2 linked regions of the Arabidopsis thaliana genome follow. The protein of the gene in region 1 interacts with the protein of each later gene in a pairwise test. Each region holds a gene or a part of one and is shown in the gene's direction. Other genes may lie near its edges. The genes, in order: LURE1.2 and AT4G08850.

Evidence for each region.
Region 2: the proteins of LURE1.2 (region 1) and AT4G08850 interact in binary tests that used the Arabidopsis thaliana proteins (3 or more experiments, as listed by UniProt).

What each region holds. Positions count from the first base shown.
Region 1 is NC_003076.8:17,472,235-17,478,838, forward strand, and holds LURE1.2 (Putative membrane lipoprotein), read left to right. Parts: upstream 1-1,814; 5' UTR 1,815-1,876; coding exon 1,877-1,925; intron 1,926-2,020; coding exon 2,021-2,244; 3' UTR 2,245-2,251; downstream 2,252-6,604. Other genes in the region: ARP9 (actin-related protein 9), read left to right, coding at 1-40, 127-197, 278-447, 534-577, 711-760, 876-972, 1,052-1,195; LURE1.3 (Putative membrane lipoprotein), read left to right, coding at 5,786-5,837, 5,933-6,156. UniProt on the Arabidopsis thaliana protein: Pollen tube attractants guiding pollen tubes to the ovular micropyle. Attracts specifically pollen tubes from A.thaliana, but not those from A.lyrata. Triggers endocytosis of MDIS1 in the pollen tube tip.
Region 2 is NC_003075.7:5,632,126-5,642,556, reverse strand, and holds AT4G08850 (Leucine-rich repeat receptor-like protein kinase family protein), read left to right. Parts: upstream 1-1,604; 5' UTR 1,605-2,060; coding exon 2,061-4,908; coding exon of another isoform or gene 4,909-5,090; exon of another isoform or gene 5,091-5,262; intron 5,263-5,574; coding exon 5,575-5,864; 3' UTR 5,865-6,078; downstream 6,079-10,431. Other genes in the region: PUM11 (pumilio 11), read right to left, coding at 8,778-8,882, 8,954-9,203, 9,408-9,571, 9,663-9,825, 10,271-10,431. UniProt on the Arabidopsis thaliana protein: Acts as a receptor of SCOOP peptides from Brassicaceae plants regulating multiple processing including plant growth, development and stress responses.

The sequences.
Region 1 (6,604 bases):
GCCAGCTGTGCCTCACAAGACAAATCTCACCTCCCTTAACGTAAACAAAAGACAAGATCAAGCCATTTTGCTGTCAATGCTCACCTATGATTTTAGTCTTGAAAATCTTTTGTTTGGTTATGTCAGGTTCCACCAATGGGTCTGTTTTATCCTAACCTTTTGGTCCCTGAAATATTTCCCCAGCCACCACGTCAATGGTCAGAGTTAAACCTTCTTATATTCTTCTCTTTGGTTTAGTTGTCGACCGAGAGATACTCATTTGAAACCTATTGTTTAGGTTTCAAGACTACGAGAATATGTTGGAAGACACTTGGAACATGGACTTTGGAGGTGGTGGTAACATGGGATTACCAATGTGGGATAGTTTTGCATTTTCGCCTTCAAAACCAAAGAAAGAAGAGAAGATTGGTCTCGCTGAAGCCATTACAAGCAGCATTCTCTCTGCTGGTATATGTTGTGATGCACCCTCCTGCATTATATAAAAATCAACACCTAACAAAAACGTTATCCTTTTCTTCTTCCTTTGCTTGTAGGACGCATAGACCTTAGACGGAAGCTTTTCTCCAGCATTCAATTGGTAGATCCTGAAAACCTTTTTTTTTACACACTCAAGTTTTCGCCATGTACTTCCTTAAAATCATGTGCTACCATGTAACTCTTCATACATGAATGTGTTACCTTGGAACTCTCTCTCTCTTTTGGCTTCTCAGATTGGTGGTGCTGGTTTGACGAAAGGTCTTGTAGCGGCAGTGGAAGAAAGGTTTGCTCGTTTCCTTTACCAAACATTTCGTTTTCTAACATCCAGAAGGCACATCCAACTAAACAGAGTATTTTGTTCAACTAATGTTTATGTCCCTCTCTCCTTTGCGTTTCAGAGTTCTTCACGCGATACCTCCAACTGAAGCCATTGATACAGTGCAGGTTCTGCCATCAAGAACGGAGCCACAATTCGTAACTTGGAAAGGAGGAGCGGTACGTTTGCATTTGTTTGCATCTTTTATTTTCTTACCACTCTTGATTTTGTGTATTTATGTACTGAAATTTGAGACAGATATTGGGAATTCTGGACTTTGGGAGGGAGGCTTGGATTGAGAGACATCAATGGATGGTAAATGGGGTTAATAAAGGTGGTCTAAAGAAGTACAAAGACTCTTATCACCTTCAAGGTCAAGCAATGTACTTCATCAACCCCTAGTTTCTGTCTATATCTTAAGCTTTCTCTGTTTCTTATCAGAATACTTTTACTTGTCATAACTCAAAACCAAAAACAAAAATTCTCAGAGTAAATGTTATTTTGCTAAGATATTCTCAGAGTTTGGATTGATTCGAGGCATATAAGAATTTAACTGATTTGGTCATCTTTAAGATCATAACTATTAATAAGGAATCCAAAAGTTATTTAAGGTTTTGTTAGAAAAGCAAGATAGGCATCATGAGTTAGTATATATATATATATATATATATATAATATAGAACTTTTTGATTTTTTTTAATCAAACTATATTATATATATATATGTCTTAGTTCCTAATAAAATGTAAACTTCAATAGAATTTTTGAAATATAAAGTTTTAAACCTGTAATTGTTTGCACTTATTAGATGTATATTACTATTTATACCAATATATAACAGATTTTAATAACTAAACAATTATAATTTTTTAACAAAAACAAACGTAATAGGTTACTGAAATTTACTTTATAACAAAATAAAACGTTTAAATGAAAATTAACTCTTTATATAACATATTTATCTACAGAGCCTATAAATATGACTAAATATTGCTTTAATACTCCAGAGCAAAACAAAAGAAAAACGATTCACAATAATATTTAATATATTTTCTTTGTGATATTGGTTAATTTCTACCAAGAAATGAAGTTGCCTATTATATTCTTAACTCTATTAATTTTTGTTTCTTCATGTAAGTCTAAATTATTTAATTAGGATAATGTGTCAGTATTATAATCATTATAAAAACTGTTTAAGAATTTGATATATCTTTTAAAAATTTGATAGGTACATCAACACTTATAAATGGATCTAGTGATGAAGAGAGAACATATTCTTTCAGTCCAACAACAAGTCCTTTTGATCCACGCTCACTGAACCAAGAACTTAAAATTGGGAGAATTGGTTACTGTTTTGATTGCGCAAGAGCTTGTATGAGACGGGGTAAGTATATTCGTACATGTAGTTTTGAAAGAAAACTTTGTCGTTGCAGTATTAGTGATATTAAATAAGGCATTGTAACTTTGTTAAACATTAATAAAAAAACAAATTATATTACTGTTTAATGTTCATCCATGCTCTTCTTTTTACAATAATGAAAATGTATAATAATCTAAAAGTTTTGTAGTGTGCACTTAACATGAAATTTATTGGAGTTAATAAAGGCTGTCTAAAGAAGTACAAAGACTCTTATCACCTTCAAGGTCAAGCAATGTACTTCATCAACCCCTAGTTTCTGTCTATATCTTAAGCTTTCTCTGTTTCTTATCACAATAACTTTTACTTGTCATAACTCAAAACCAAAAACAAAAGTTCTCAGAGTAAATGTTATTTTGCTAAGATATTGTATGTTTTGTCATGTATTTGATTGAACCCTTTCTCTCTACACAACAAAACCAATTTCTAAGGGAGTTTTATTTTAGATTTATGATGGTTTAAAGAGAGAAAAAAAAAAAAAAAGTAGTTACAGTTTTTTGTCCCACATCGGCAATACGAGAGGGAAGGAGAGCAGAGAAGGGCTTATATAAAGAAGATGGGCCTCACCGTTAGAAATTAAAAAGGGTCGGATGGCTATTTATGCCACGCTCAGCCTAAGATAAGGGGTGAGTGCTGTATGGCAAAATCAAGACATATGGCCGACATTATTTCTGGAACAACCCATGGGTTGGCTCGCTCGGCCGACCCTCCAAATTACAATTAAAAATAATTAAAATTTGTTTATCATACGTTCGGCGTAATTGTTTACTATAATTAGATAAAGAATCCATTTTAATTCCCTCAACTAAAGTATTATTGACAAATACTTTATTCTATATACATTTAAAACTCCAAATGACTATCGTTAAATCTATATCATTTTGATTTGTTAAAATGCAATTTTTTTTTGTTTTAAGGACAACATTAGAAACATGATGTAATCGATTGGGAATATAAAACAGTTTGTCAATATAACTATGACTACCATTAATAATTTAAACCTAACACCTTGCTCACATACAATACTCCATGCATATTGCATAGGTCGAATCAAATTAAACCAAAAATCTATATATTTTGTGATATTAATTCTGACCGATCATTAAAATTTACTGTATACTGTATTTAGTAGTTGTCGTCAACTTGTTTACAAAATGTTTAAGTGATCAATAATTAAAAAACAAATTGAAATCAAAATAATTTTACCATTCACAATTTAAACTTAAACGCTTTGCTCACATATCATATTGCATTGCTCACACGCTTTCATCACATTACCATTCGACAGGAAAGAGTAAAAGTGTTAAATCACCACCACCCGATTGAGGAACAAAATTCTACATATTATGAAATGTTTTTTTTTTAACTTTTATAATAATGAAAAAACTTAATACCAAATCTTCTTAATAATCAGGTTACAACTTTAAATACTTTTGTTTCTAAAACTTTTTAAAAATAATTTGTTTCTATAGATAAAAAAATGAAAGGTGTTTGTTCAAAACAAATATGAAATAAGGTGATTTAAAGAATTTTCTTATTAATAAATAATTTAAGCAATTTATAACTAAAAGATATATACATATGTAGAAAGAGTTTGGATTGATTCGAGGCATATAAGAATTAAACTGATTTGGTCATCTTTAAGATCATAAATATTAATAAGGAATCCAAAAGTAATTTAAGATTTTGTTAGAAAAGCAAGATAGGCATCATCAGTTAGTATGTATATAAGATTTTGTTAATCAAATTATAGTATATATTATGTATTAGTTCCTCAAATTAAATATTTTAAATAAAATGTGGGCATCAATAGTAATTTTTAAATTTAAAGTTTTAAACCGGTAATTGTATGCACTTATTAGACGTAGGAAGATTTGCAAAAGTACCATTTTTCTACTACATCATGCAACAATACCTTTTTCAACAATCTTTTGCAATAATACCATTTTCTGTTGTCCATTTTTAAAAATACTCATTCTCTTGAACAAAATAACCAAATTACCCTCATTTAATGAGAACACATAATTAGAAACAGAAATTTTGGCGCCAAAGTTTTTTTCCCCCCAAAATGGTTTTCCCTCCAAAAAAAGTTTCCCACCAAAAAGAATTTCCCGTAACAAAATTTTTCCCAACTAAAAACTTCATTTAAAAACCCTTGTAAATCATTTTAAAACCTCTTAAAATCTTTATACAATCTTTAAATACATATAAAAATACTTTAAAAACCTTTGTAAATCATTTTATAACCTTTTACAATGGTTTTAAAAGATTTACAAGAGTTTTTAAGAAGTTTTAAAAGGATTTTAAATCCTTTTAAAATCTTATTAAAACTCTTATAAAGTCTTTAAATCATTTTTAACTTTTTAATAAAATTTGTAAATATTTTTAAAAATTTGTAAATATTTTAAAACATTTGTAACTCTTTTTTACCATTTTAAAAGTCTTGTGAACCCTTACAAAAGGTTTTAAAAAATTTACAAGTGTTTTTAAAGGGTTTTAAAACCTTGTAAACCATTTATAAATCTTAAAAAAAAACTTGTAAACCCTTTAATAAACTTTTAACCATTTTAAAAGTCTTGTGAACCCCTTACAAAAGGTTTTAAAAAAATTTACAAGAGTTTTTAAAAGATTTTAAACTTGTAAATCTTTTAAAAATCCTTGTAAATCCTTTAAAATCTTTGTAAACCCTTTCATAATTTTTGAACCATTTTAAAAGTCTTGTGAACCCCTTACAAAAGGTTTTAAAAATTTTTACAAGAGTTTTTAAAAGATTTTAAACTTGTAAATCTTTTAAAAATCCTTGTAAATCTTTTACAATCTTTGTAAACCCTTTAATAATTTTTGAACCATTTTAAAACTCTTGTGAACCCCTTAAAAAAAGTTTTAAAACGATTTACAAGAGGTTTTAAAGGGTTTTAAAACTCTTGTAAATTCCTTAAAAAAAATTTTAAAACCCTCGTAATTTTTTAAAAAATCTTTTAAAACCTTACCCGCTAAATTTGTTTTTTGTGGGAAAATTTTTTTTGGAATAAAAAATTTGGCGGAATATTTTTTCGATATTACTTTGGCGGGAAAATGTATTTCAAAACTTTTTGTGGCGAAAAAATTATTTTAGGAATATTTTAAGTGGAAAAATCAATATTTTATTTTGTTAACCTAAAATATTTTCCAAATAGAGGTAAAATGGTCACCAAAAATAAAAAAAAGGTAAAAATGAAAATGACAAACAAGAAAGGGTATACTTGAAAATGGGTAATGTTGAAACCGCATTCTTAGCAATTATTCTTAGATGTATATTAATATTTATACCAATATAAAACATATTTTAATAACTAAATTATTAAAATTTAAAATTGAAAACAAACGTAATAAGTTACTGAACTTTCCTTTATAACAAAATAAAACGTTTTAATGAAAATTAACTCTTTTATAACATATTTATCTAGAGAGCCTATAAATATGACTAAATATTGCTTTAATACTCCAGAGCAAAACAGAAGAAAAACAAAATTCAAAACGATTCACAAAAACATTTCATATATTTTTTTAGTGATATTGGTTAATTTCTACAAAGAAATGAAGTTGCCTTTTATATTCTTAATTACTCTATTAATTTTTGTTTCTTCATGTAAGTCTAAATTATTTAATTAGGATAATGTGTCAGTACTATAATCATTACAAAACCAGTTTAAGAATTTGATATATCTTTTGAAAATTTGATAGGTACATCAATACTTATAAATGAATCTAGTGATGAAGAGAGAACATATTCTTTCAGTCCAACAACAAGTCCTTTTGATCCACGCTCACTTAACCAAGAACTTAAAATTGGGAGAATTGGTTACTGTTTTGATTGCGCAAGAGCTTGTATGAGACGGGGTAAGTATATTCGTACATGTAGTTTTGAAAGAAAACTTTGTCGTTGCAGTATTAGTGGTATTAAATAAGGCATTGTAACTTTGTTAAACATTAATAAAAAAACAAATTCTGTTACTGTTTAATGTTCATCCATGCCCTTCTTTTTATAATAATGAACATGTATAATAATCTAACAGTTTTGTAGTGTGCACTAAACATGAAATCTATTGGGAAACATAAGTCCATGACAACTAAATAAATATTTGAAAAAAAACATATTCAACATAACCAAGAAAACTGTTAGTTTTTTCTAAACATTTTACATTTAAACAAATTTCTTTAGCTCATTTTTACTATAAATCTATTTTATTATATAAAATATGGTTTTCAAAGTTTTGAAAGGGTCAAAGATTTTAATCACCCCCACATCTCAACATAGATAAGGTTCCAATATGTTTAATTATTTTGCATATTTACCTAAAACCTTCTGAGTTATGATAGACAAAATTAAAGAAAACAAATCTTCAAATCAGCTTA
Region 2 (10,431 bases), on another chromosome or scaffold:
TCGAACGGTCCAAAGCGGTATCTAGCAGTTTGTATGATTGGTGCCAATCGCTAACAACCGCTACCACCCGCAAATGCAGCGTTTGCGGATGGCAGAGGGAAAACCAATCAAGCCCTTAATTGTTCCTTAAAAACAAGAGAAAACGCGTTACAAAAGCTCAAAGGACTGTTTTCCTCTTCTTCCTTTTTTTTATATATAATAATCTTATTTTAACAGAATTATATTGAATAATAAAAACGAAAACTAAAGAAGAGATGACATACGTGATATGTCATAGAATAAGAAGAATATGATATTAAGAAGAGTTAATTAAAAAATAAACCATAAGATGTTCTTAAAATTATAACTTTTTATGATGTAAAAATAAGTATCAGATAATACACAATTCGGATTTTCAACGAATTGGGTTATTGTTAACTTTTTATGAGAATGATTTCGTTATGGATTATAAATTTTTGGTTTTATATGCGTTTTAAATGATTGAATAGTTAGGATTTTGATGATGGTCGAGATGATTACAATTTACGTTTGAAAAATTAAGTGTTCGTGTAAACAATGGTGGAGCTTTTCTTTCTCGGCCAATAGAGTCACGTAAATCTTATTACCTACTAGTCATGCAAGCTAACCTTTGTTATTCAGTCTTCGCACTAAGTCTATACCTCAATCAATCAATTCTTCTATTTTTTGTCAAGTTTCTAGTTGTCTTTGAATTTCTTTTCTAATTTTGTCTGGCTTCTTCTATACGAAAATGACTTGGTTTCACACATTATTTTCCAAAGAAAATTATAACGAATGCTATCTTAATAACTATTTAGGATTTACATACTTGAACTAAGAAATAATATATTAACAATTCAATACAAAGAAAAAAAAAACATACAATACAATAAGAAGGTCCATGAGATTACATTGAGGGGACCAGTTGATTGTACATGACCATACCTTGTGCAAGACTTCAAAAGTCAATCCTTTTTGTCGTAGATCTCTTCCCTAAAAGTTGAATTTCTATTATTTTTACCAAAGTATATTTGACAAAAATAAAACTAAACCTCTTTTGTTATTTACAGTGATAAGGAAATTCGAGATTAAAAAATAAAAAAAAAGAATAATAATAATAATTCGAGATGTTAAATCTACATATGGTGATCTTGACTCTTGAGGCGTCCGTGTTTTATTTAAGTTTCGTATTTTTTAGGTTTGAACTTACGTTAAAGGGACTTCCGCTAAGCATTCTAGTCAGTCTGAAGATCTTTTTTTCCCTTACTGCTCTTGTTTCTAGCCATGTTCTGCTTAGGTGAGTCTTTTTTATCGAGTTGATTCTTAAGTAACCTTTACTACTTAAGAATTTAGTGATGATTTGATTTTCGAATGTATATACTTTCATAATTCTTTAGCTTTTTTGGTATGGGACGGTATGGGACCATATTTTTAGAATTTACTTTGTAATTTCTATATCTTTCATTTTTTGAAATGATATTTACATTCTTATAAGAAAAATAGTTTCTTATTTTATGGTACAAGTTGTTAAAAAATCACACAATAAAGTTAAGAGATATTTTTAAGAAAGATTTGTATTATATTACTATACTAAAAGTAACATCAATGCATTTTCCCATTGTTGAAAAAACTAATTAATCTTATCGTCCAAATGAACATGACTAACCCATATTTTATTTGCTAATGAAAAATTGACCATCGTTGTCAGTCCATATAAATCCACCAATCCTGCCGTCAATAACTTTTATATAAGTGTTTTTTTTTAAATACATTATAATATAACATTCAAAGAACTCATACATTATCTTTATACAAAAGTAGAAAACAACAACTTAAACAAGTCAGTAAACTATTTTTATATTAATGTGAATGTGTGTGTGAAGTGATAATTTCCGAAGATTTTGTTTGACAAAGTAAACGGCTAATAATTAAAGAGAGAATTCAAGATATTGACTTATTTGTCCTCTATTAACAAGTGACAACCCATAGTCAACTATCACGGACTAGTCAACGAAATCAATTTTCAGTTTATAAAAGACCGTAGAGAGATAATCTGCAACTGTATGAACAAAACAAACCCAGAAAGAAAAATATCACTAACCTCATTCAAAGAGAGAATGGCTTGTAAAGAAAAGCCTCGTGATCTTCAAGTTCTTTTGATCATATCTATAGTTTTGAGTTGTTCTTTTGCTGTTTCTGCAACGGTGGAAGAAGCTAATGCTCTTTTGAAATGGAAGTCAACTTTCACAAACCAGACAAGTTCATCAAAGCTATCTTCTTGGGTCAATCCAAACACAAGCAGCTTTTGTACCAGTTGGTATGGTGTTGCCTGCTCACTCGGGAGCATTATACGGTTGAATCTTACTAATACCGGTATCGAAGGTACTTTCGAAGATTTTCCATTCTCGTCTCTCCCCAATCTCACTTTTGTTGATCTCAGTATGAACCGTTTCTCTGGAACCATCTCTCCTTTATGGGGACGGTTCTCGAAACTCGAATACTTCGATTTGTCGATTAACCAGTTAGTTGGTGAAATCCCACCTGAACTTGGTGATTTGAGTAATTTAGATACTCTCCATCTAGTTGAAAACAAGTTAAACGGATCGATTCCTTCTGAGATCGGTCGGTTAACTAAGGTTACGGAGATAGCTATATACGACAATCTTTTAACCGGACCAATACCTTCTTCTTTTGGAAACCTTACCAAACTAGTTAACCTCTACCTCTTTATCAATTCTCTTTCTGGTTCAATTCCTTCTGAAATAGGAAACTTACCCAACCTTAGAGAGCTATGTCTAGATAGGAACAACCTTACCGGTAAAATCCCTTCTAGTTTCGGGAATTTGAAGAATGTAACTCTTCTCAATATGTTTGAAAATCAGCTCTCTGGTGAAATCCCTCCTGAGATTGGTAATATGACCGCTTTAGATACACTTAGTCTCCACACAAATAAGCTTACCGGTCCAATACCTTCTACCTTAGGAAACATCAAAACCCTAGCCGTTCTTCATCTTTACCTGAATCAACTCAATGGTTCGATTCCACCGGAACTAGGCGAAATGGAATCAATGATTGATTTGGAGATAAGTGAGAACAAACTCACCGGTCCTGTTCCCGATTCTTTTGGCAAGTTAACCGCGTTGGAATGGTTGTTCCTACGTGATAATCAGCTCTCTGGTCCCATCCCACCGGGAATTGCTAACTCTACAGAGCTCACCGTCCTGCAGCTCGACACCAACAACTTCACCGGTTTCTTGCCTGATACCATCTGTAGAGGTGGAAAGCTTGAGAATCTTACGCTAGATGATAATCACTTCGAAGGTCCTGTTCCTAAAAGCTTGAGAGATTGCAAGAGCTTGATCAGAGTAAGATTCAAAGGGAATAGTTTCTCCGGAGATATCTCTGAGGCTTTCGGAGTTTACCCGACTCTCAACTTCATCGATCTCAGCAACAACAACTTTCATGGACAACTTTCAGCCAACTGGGAACAAAGTCAAAAGCTGGTTGCATTCATCCTCTCAAACAACAGCATCACTGGAGCCATCCCACCTGAGATTTGGAACATGACACAGCTAAGTCAGCTCGATCTATCTTCCAACCGCATCACCGGCGAGCTACCTGAATCAATCAGCAATATCAACCGTATATCAAAACTCCAACTCAACGGGAATCGGCTATCAGGCAAAATCCCTTCAGGAATCAGACTCTTAACCAATCTTGAGTATCTTGATCTATCCTCAAACCGATTCAGTTCCGAAATACCCCCAACGCTCAACAATTTGCCAAGGCTCTACTACATGAACCTGAGCAGAAACGACTTGGATCAAACCATCCCGGAGGGGTTAACAAAGCTATCTCAGTTACAAATGCTTGATCTCAGCTACAATCAGCTCGACGGAGAGATCTCATCACAATTCAGATCTTTACAAAACCTCGAAAGACTCGACCTCTCACACAACAATCTCTCAGGTCAAATCCCACCAAGTTTCAAAGATATGCTAGCACTAACACACGTCGATGTATCACACAACAACCTCCAAGGTCCAATTCCAGATAACGCAGCGTTTCGAAACGCACCTCCAGATGCTTTTGAAGGTAACAAAGACTTATGTGGTAGTGTTAACACCACACAAGGCTTGAAGCCATGTTCAATCACATCCTCAAAGAAATCACACAAGGATCGAAACCTAATCATCTACATACTAGTTCCGATCATCGGAGCAATCATAATCCTCTCCGTCTGCGCCGGAATCTTCATCTGTTTCCGTAAACGAACAAAACAAATCGAGGAGCATACAGATTCAGAATCAGGAGGAGAAACATTATCAATCTTCAGCTTCGACGGCAAAGTCCGATACCAAGAGATCATCAAAGCAACAGGAGAATTCGATCCAAAATACCTAATCGGAACCGGAGGACACGGCAAAGTCTACAAAGCAAAGCTACCAAACGCAATCATGGCGGTGAAAAAGCTAAACGAAACAACAGACTCATCAATCTCAAATCCATCAACAAAACAAGAGTTTCTCAACGAAATCAGAGCACTAACCGAGATCCGTCACCGGAACGTCGTGAAACTCTTCGGATTCTGCTCGCATCGCCGCAACACGTTTCTGGTTTACGAGTACATGGAGAGAGGAAGCTTGAGGAAAGTTTTGGAGAATGATGATGAAGCGAAGAAGTTAGATTGGGGAAAGAGGATCAACGTTGTGAAAGGTGTGGCTCATGCTTTGTCTTATATGCATCATGATCGGTCTCCGGCGATTGTTCACCGTGATATTAGTAGTGGGAATATTCTTCTCGGCGAGGATTATGAAGCGAAGATCTCTGATTTTGGTACTGCGAAGCTTCTTAAACCGGATTCTTCAAATTGGTCCGCCGTTGCTGGTACTTACGGCTATGTTGCTCCAGGTACGCTTTTTGACCCGTTGGATAAATTGGTTGTGGATTTGACCCGGTTATGGTCGGGTCGGGTTGAAATTATGGTTAGATTTGGTTTATTCGGGTTAAATTTTAACCAAATAAAAACCAAAATGTTTTGTTTCGGTTTGAAGTTTTTTTTGACTATGGGTTGGATTTGGTTCAGTTTTTAACCAAAATTTTGTTGCAAATTAAGTAAACAACTAGAATTCATTATATTATAACCAAATAAAAACCAAAATTTTTGTAGGTAATGAAATTCCTAGTCTAATTTCTAGAAAGAAAAAAATAATGTTTTAAGTTTGGATTTGGTTCAGCTTTTAAATAAATGTAAAATTTACAAAAAAAAAAAAAAAAAAAAAAGAATTAGTGAAAATTATTATTAGATTATGTAATGATATTATATTTATATTTAATATATTGATTTTGAAACATAAATTATTCATGAATTTTGGTTAGAAAATCGATTTTACTTCGTTTTATTTTTTTGCCAAATTTCAAGTACTAAGCATTTCTATTTGATTCATTTTGGTATAGTTTGAGTTAGTTTAAAATGCAATTCCTATAAGTCTTATAAATCTGATTTATTATTTAGTATATATCATAAATAAAAATAATGATAGTGACTAACATGTTTGTGAAATTTGGATGTGACAGAACTAGCTTATGCGATGAAAGTGACTGAGAAATGCGATGTGTATAGCTTTGGAGTTCTAACACTTGAAGTGATCAAAGGAGAGCATCCAGGAGATCTAGTTTCAACTCTTTCATCCTCACCTCCCGATGCAACTCTGTCACTGAAAAGCATTTCCGACCACCGGCTACCGGAACCGACACCGGAGATTAAAGAGGAGGTCTTAGAGATTTTGAAAGTTGCACTTTTGTGTTTACATTCTGATCCACAAGCTCGCCCAACAATGCTCTCTATCTCCACTGCCTTTTCTTAAGAACTTGTCTCTTCTCTGACTCTCTCTAGTCTCTACCAAGCAGAAACTTTACACGTTGTAGTGTTTGTTTCTTTGATTATGGGTTAATATTTTTGTTTCATGGAATTTTAGTTTTTGTGATGAATTATATAATAGTTTGCATCTTTTGTATATATAATGTTTCTTTCTTTAATTTTTCTCACTAATAGATACAAAAAATATGTCAATGTTTTTGCTTGTGATTTTTTCTTTTTTTTTTTTAAATCTAATGTTAAATTATATTCAAAGAAAAAATATCGTTTTTACAACAAGTGCGATAAAATTTGAATTTGAGTAGAAACTGAAATTTGAGAAATCATAGAAATTCTTAATTTCAAAATAATGAGTTTTATATTTGAGTTTGTTAACATAGGGGTGTGTATTAAAAAAATTTAACCCTATCGAACCATCCGAAGTCCAAACTCAAACTAATCCAAGCCAAACCATAATCCATACACAAATCTCTTGGTTATGCTTTAATTAGACCCGAACAGTTTCGTTCGGTTTATAACTGGACCGGAACCAATGATCCGATCTACCTAGTATTTAGTATTATATAGTTGTTTTATTTCTAAAAGTTACTTAAGAGACGAAATACATACTAGTTTGCATCTTTTGTATATATATAGAATGTTTGCATCTTTCTTTAATTTTTCTCTTTAATAGATACAAAAGTATGTCGCGTTCTTGCATTTATTTCAAAATAGTGAGTTTTATTTGAGTTTCTTAACATAGGGTGTGTATTTTAACCATATTGAACTATCCGAACTCAAACAAATCCAAGTCGAACCATATTCGATGCACAAATCTTTTGGTTACACTTTAATTTGACCCGAATGGTTTTGTTCGGTTTATAACTGGACCGGAAACAATGATTCAATCTACCTAGTATTTAATATTAGAGTTTTCTGCAAAAAAAATCCTTAATTCATCCATTTTTACAACTTTACCTTCCACTTCCAACAAATACAGATTAATCCTATGAAATCTAAAATAATACGCAAGGTAATATTTTTTGCCTGTTTTTGCTATCATCAGTTTTGTAAAATATTGATATATAATATGTTAAATTGAAGTCCTTTTGACCAAGAGTTTAATTATACATTCAAAATCTTACAACTCTAATGTATGTGACCATAAAAACGTTAACAATATACATATAAGAATCATATTTCTTATTATTTTGGACTTCATAAATATAATCTGCGTTTGTTAGAGGTGAATGATAAAATTGCAAAAGTGGATGAGTTAGAAAATTTTGTTGTACAAAACCCTTAATATATAATTTTTTTTATTTCGAAAATTTACATGTAGTCTCCATATCAATCTTCAAATGACGGTAAGTTTGGTTTCATGCTCTATTGTATTTAATTTGTTTCGTTTTTCGAACCAAATCCAAACCAAACATAACTAAACCGAATAATACTACCTTTGATTTTGGATCCATCTAGTTTATTACCAACCAAATAAACCTAATCCAATCCGAAACCGAAAATAAACCAAATTACCTACCCCTTAAAGTTAAAAACCATGGGAAGAGCTTTCAGCTATAACACAAGGGAAGAGCTTATCTAGAAAGTTTTAAACAAGAGGCCGAAAATAAGGCCCATTGAAGAGCCCAGTTTCCTACGAATCAGCACGCAGACGTCACATGCTTGCCTAAAGAAGAATTATTTTGCTCTGCGTTTTGTGGCATTGTTTTGACATAAAAGGAAACGTAGGAGACAAGATTCAGGCGGTTATCGCGGTGGAGAAGATGTGGTGTGTTTTATGAACAAGTTTTGGATTGTAGTAACTTGTAATTTAGTAGGTTTGTACTTGCACAAAGAAAAAGAAAAAAAGTAACTTGTAATTTAGAGTTGTTATCTAAAGTCAAATAATTTTGTTGTTATGAAGAACTCGTAAAAGCTCTAAAGAAAAGGAGTATTTTTCTTTTTATTTTTTTGTCAAAAATGTCAGCGAGTAAGTTTAAGCCATAATGATCCAAGATAATAGCTTTGGGCGTTTGGGTATTAGGGTCGGGTTTGGGTCGAGTATTTCAGATTCATGTTTTTCGGGTTTAGAAATTTAATACATGATCTGGTAATTAAAGGGTTTGGTTCGGTTTATTTCTATATTAAAATATCAAAATTTTGTGTACAACCCTATTAAATTACTTGAAAATTTCAAAAATTATCAAAACAACATAAGTAATTTTGCTTGAATATATTTAAAAATACACAAAAATAACTAAAATATATGAGTATAAATATAACTAATATATACTTATATTTGAGATATGTTTGAGTATCTGTTCGGTTTCGGGTTTTTTGGATTTGGAAATTTAAACCTGTTCGGGTATTTAAAAATTTTGGGTTCGAGTTCTAATTAGAATTTTCGGGTCGGATTCGGTCGATTCTTCGGGTTTGGATATTATGTCCAGACCTACAAGATAGTGCTAAAAACAAAACATAAAATCATCAACTACTGCAAATGAGGATTACGCGTAATAATTATTATTTTAGTGTTATAATTATTATTATTTTAGCCAAATGAAATGTCTATCAACCAAACCAAAGCATAAATAGTTTTTATTTGGTTTCAATTTACTATAAACCGATAACATTGAAAACAGCAACACTGAGCCGATATCTAACCACAAAAACCATCTCCATCAATCTCTGTCTATATCTATGGACACAGTTTCAATTTCAAGACTACAAAAAACAACAGAAGAAAACACCCAAACAAAAGACAGAGACAACAAAAGAGCTCTCTTCTTCTTGTAAAGTTCATAGATAGAGAGAGACAACAAAAGAGCTCTTCTTCTAGTAAAGGATCAAAAGAGTAAGTCAAATCCTAGTTTAAGCAAAACAACAACACATTCCTTGCGTGAGGGGTTACATCATCTAAAACTCACTTCTTCCAGAGATTCTTGGAGAATATCCTCTTGCAATATGGAGTCATCTTCAGATTTTCATATCTTCTAACCTTCTCCACCAAGCTCGCTCGAACAAAGCCCTGTTCAATCCAATCAGTTCCGTTACTATGTTTTCGAGTCTGTTACCGATCACATGACTAAACTAACTAACCTTGGTTTTCGATAGAGCACACTGGATCACGTAATTAGCATAAGGGTCTTGAAGAAGATATCCGAAGTTTAGAACAGAGACGAGTTCATTCACAATCTGAGATCTGCTCTCTGGATAATACCTGAGACATTTCTCAACCACATGGCTACCAAACTTCTGTGTAGCTAACTTCACATAATTCCCTCTTAGCTCAAACAGTACATTCACTCCTCCAACCTTCTTCTCTATTATGTATTGCACCAAATAGTTCCTGTCATCATTTTCACATACACATACAAGTATTTTAGTAACAAACTATATATTATCAATGTGGAACATAGTGACATTATATGATTTTAAATAATACTATCACTTAAGGCATGTTTTGTTCATTAGACCCACTAGTTAACTATACATAAGATACTAACAGTATTGAATCTTGTAGAACGATATTGATATATATAAGTATTGTTACCCGAAAGGGTCTTGAGCAAGGAGAAGAGAGTTTCTGGATATTTCATCAACAAGCTTCTCATGTTGCTCCCCAACCGAGTACGAAACGCAGCGTTGAAGCACACAACATCCATGGCGAGTAGTCGCAATCTCTATGCAGAACTTAGTAGCAGCCTCCAAAATGAACTGTCACAAGCAAAAATATCATCAAGAGTTTTAAAAGAACATTATCAAGAACATGATTGAACTATTTAAGGAAGAGTTTTATGTTATAAACCTTGTTATCATTAGGACTAAAGAATTTCAAGCAATTTAGTATCACATGGTTTCCATTTAATTCTCTAAACAAAGAGAGAAATCCCGGTACAAGAGCTGACTTAACCAGACTGATTTGCTCCTTTGTAGTCACAGTCTCAATCAACTTCTGCACCACTCGTGTCCTGGACTCATTTTGAAAACATCAAACCAACAAGATTCAGCTTTTATCATAATATAAGCAAAACCAAAGATTTCCAAAAACATGTATCAACAAGTCAAGTCAAATGGTCTGAAAAATATTTAAAATGTTCTTTTCAAAGGTCTAAGATTTGTCTAAATCAGCAAAAACAATTCATCTTTTTTTCCATCAACAAAAATCTGACAATTTTTTCTTCACAAAGATCTCATTTTTCTTTCTTTCCTTAAATAGCTTAGGTTTCATCTTTATCGAAGAAAGAAAGATCTCATCTTTCCTCCACATATATGCAACAAAATTTCATGTCTCCTTAGTTCTTGTGCTTATGACAAAAAGCTTTTACTTTTCAGATCATTTAAATTCAAAATGCTTTTATACAATTACTATTATATAGTTTATATACAAAAGTGAAAATGGATAATGAAGCTTACCCATAATTGTTGATGGAGATTTTGACAAGAAGTCCAGGTTTTGAAGTCAACCTAATGAGAATCTGAGTTCTTTGTTCTTCATTGCAGACTTCAATAAGCTTCTGGATAAGATAGTTACCAAACGGATCCGTTCCAAGCTCAATGACATTATTAATCACTTC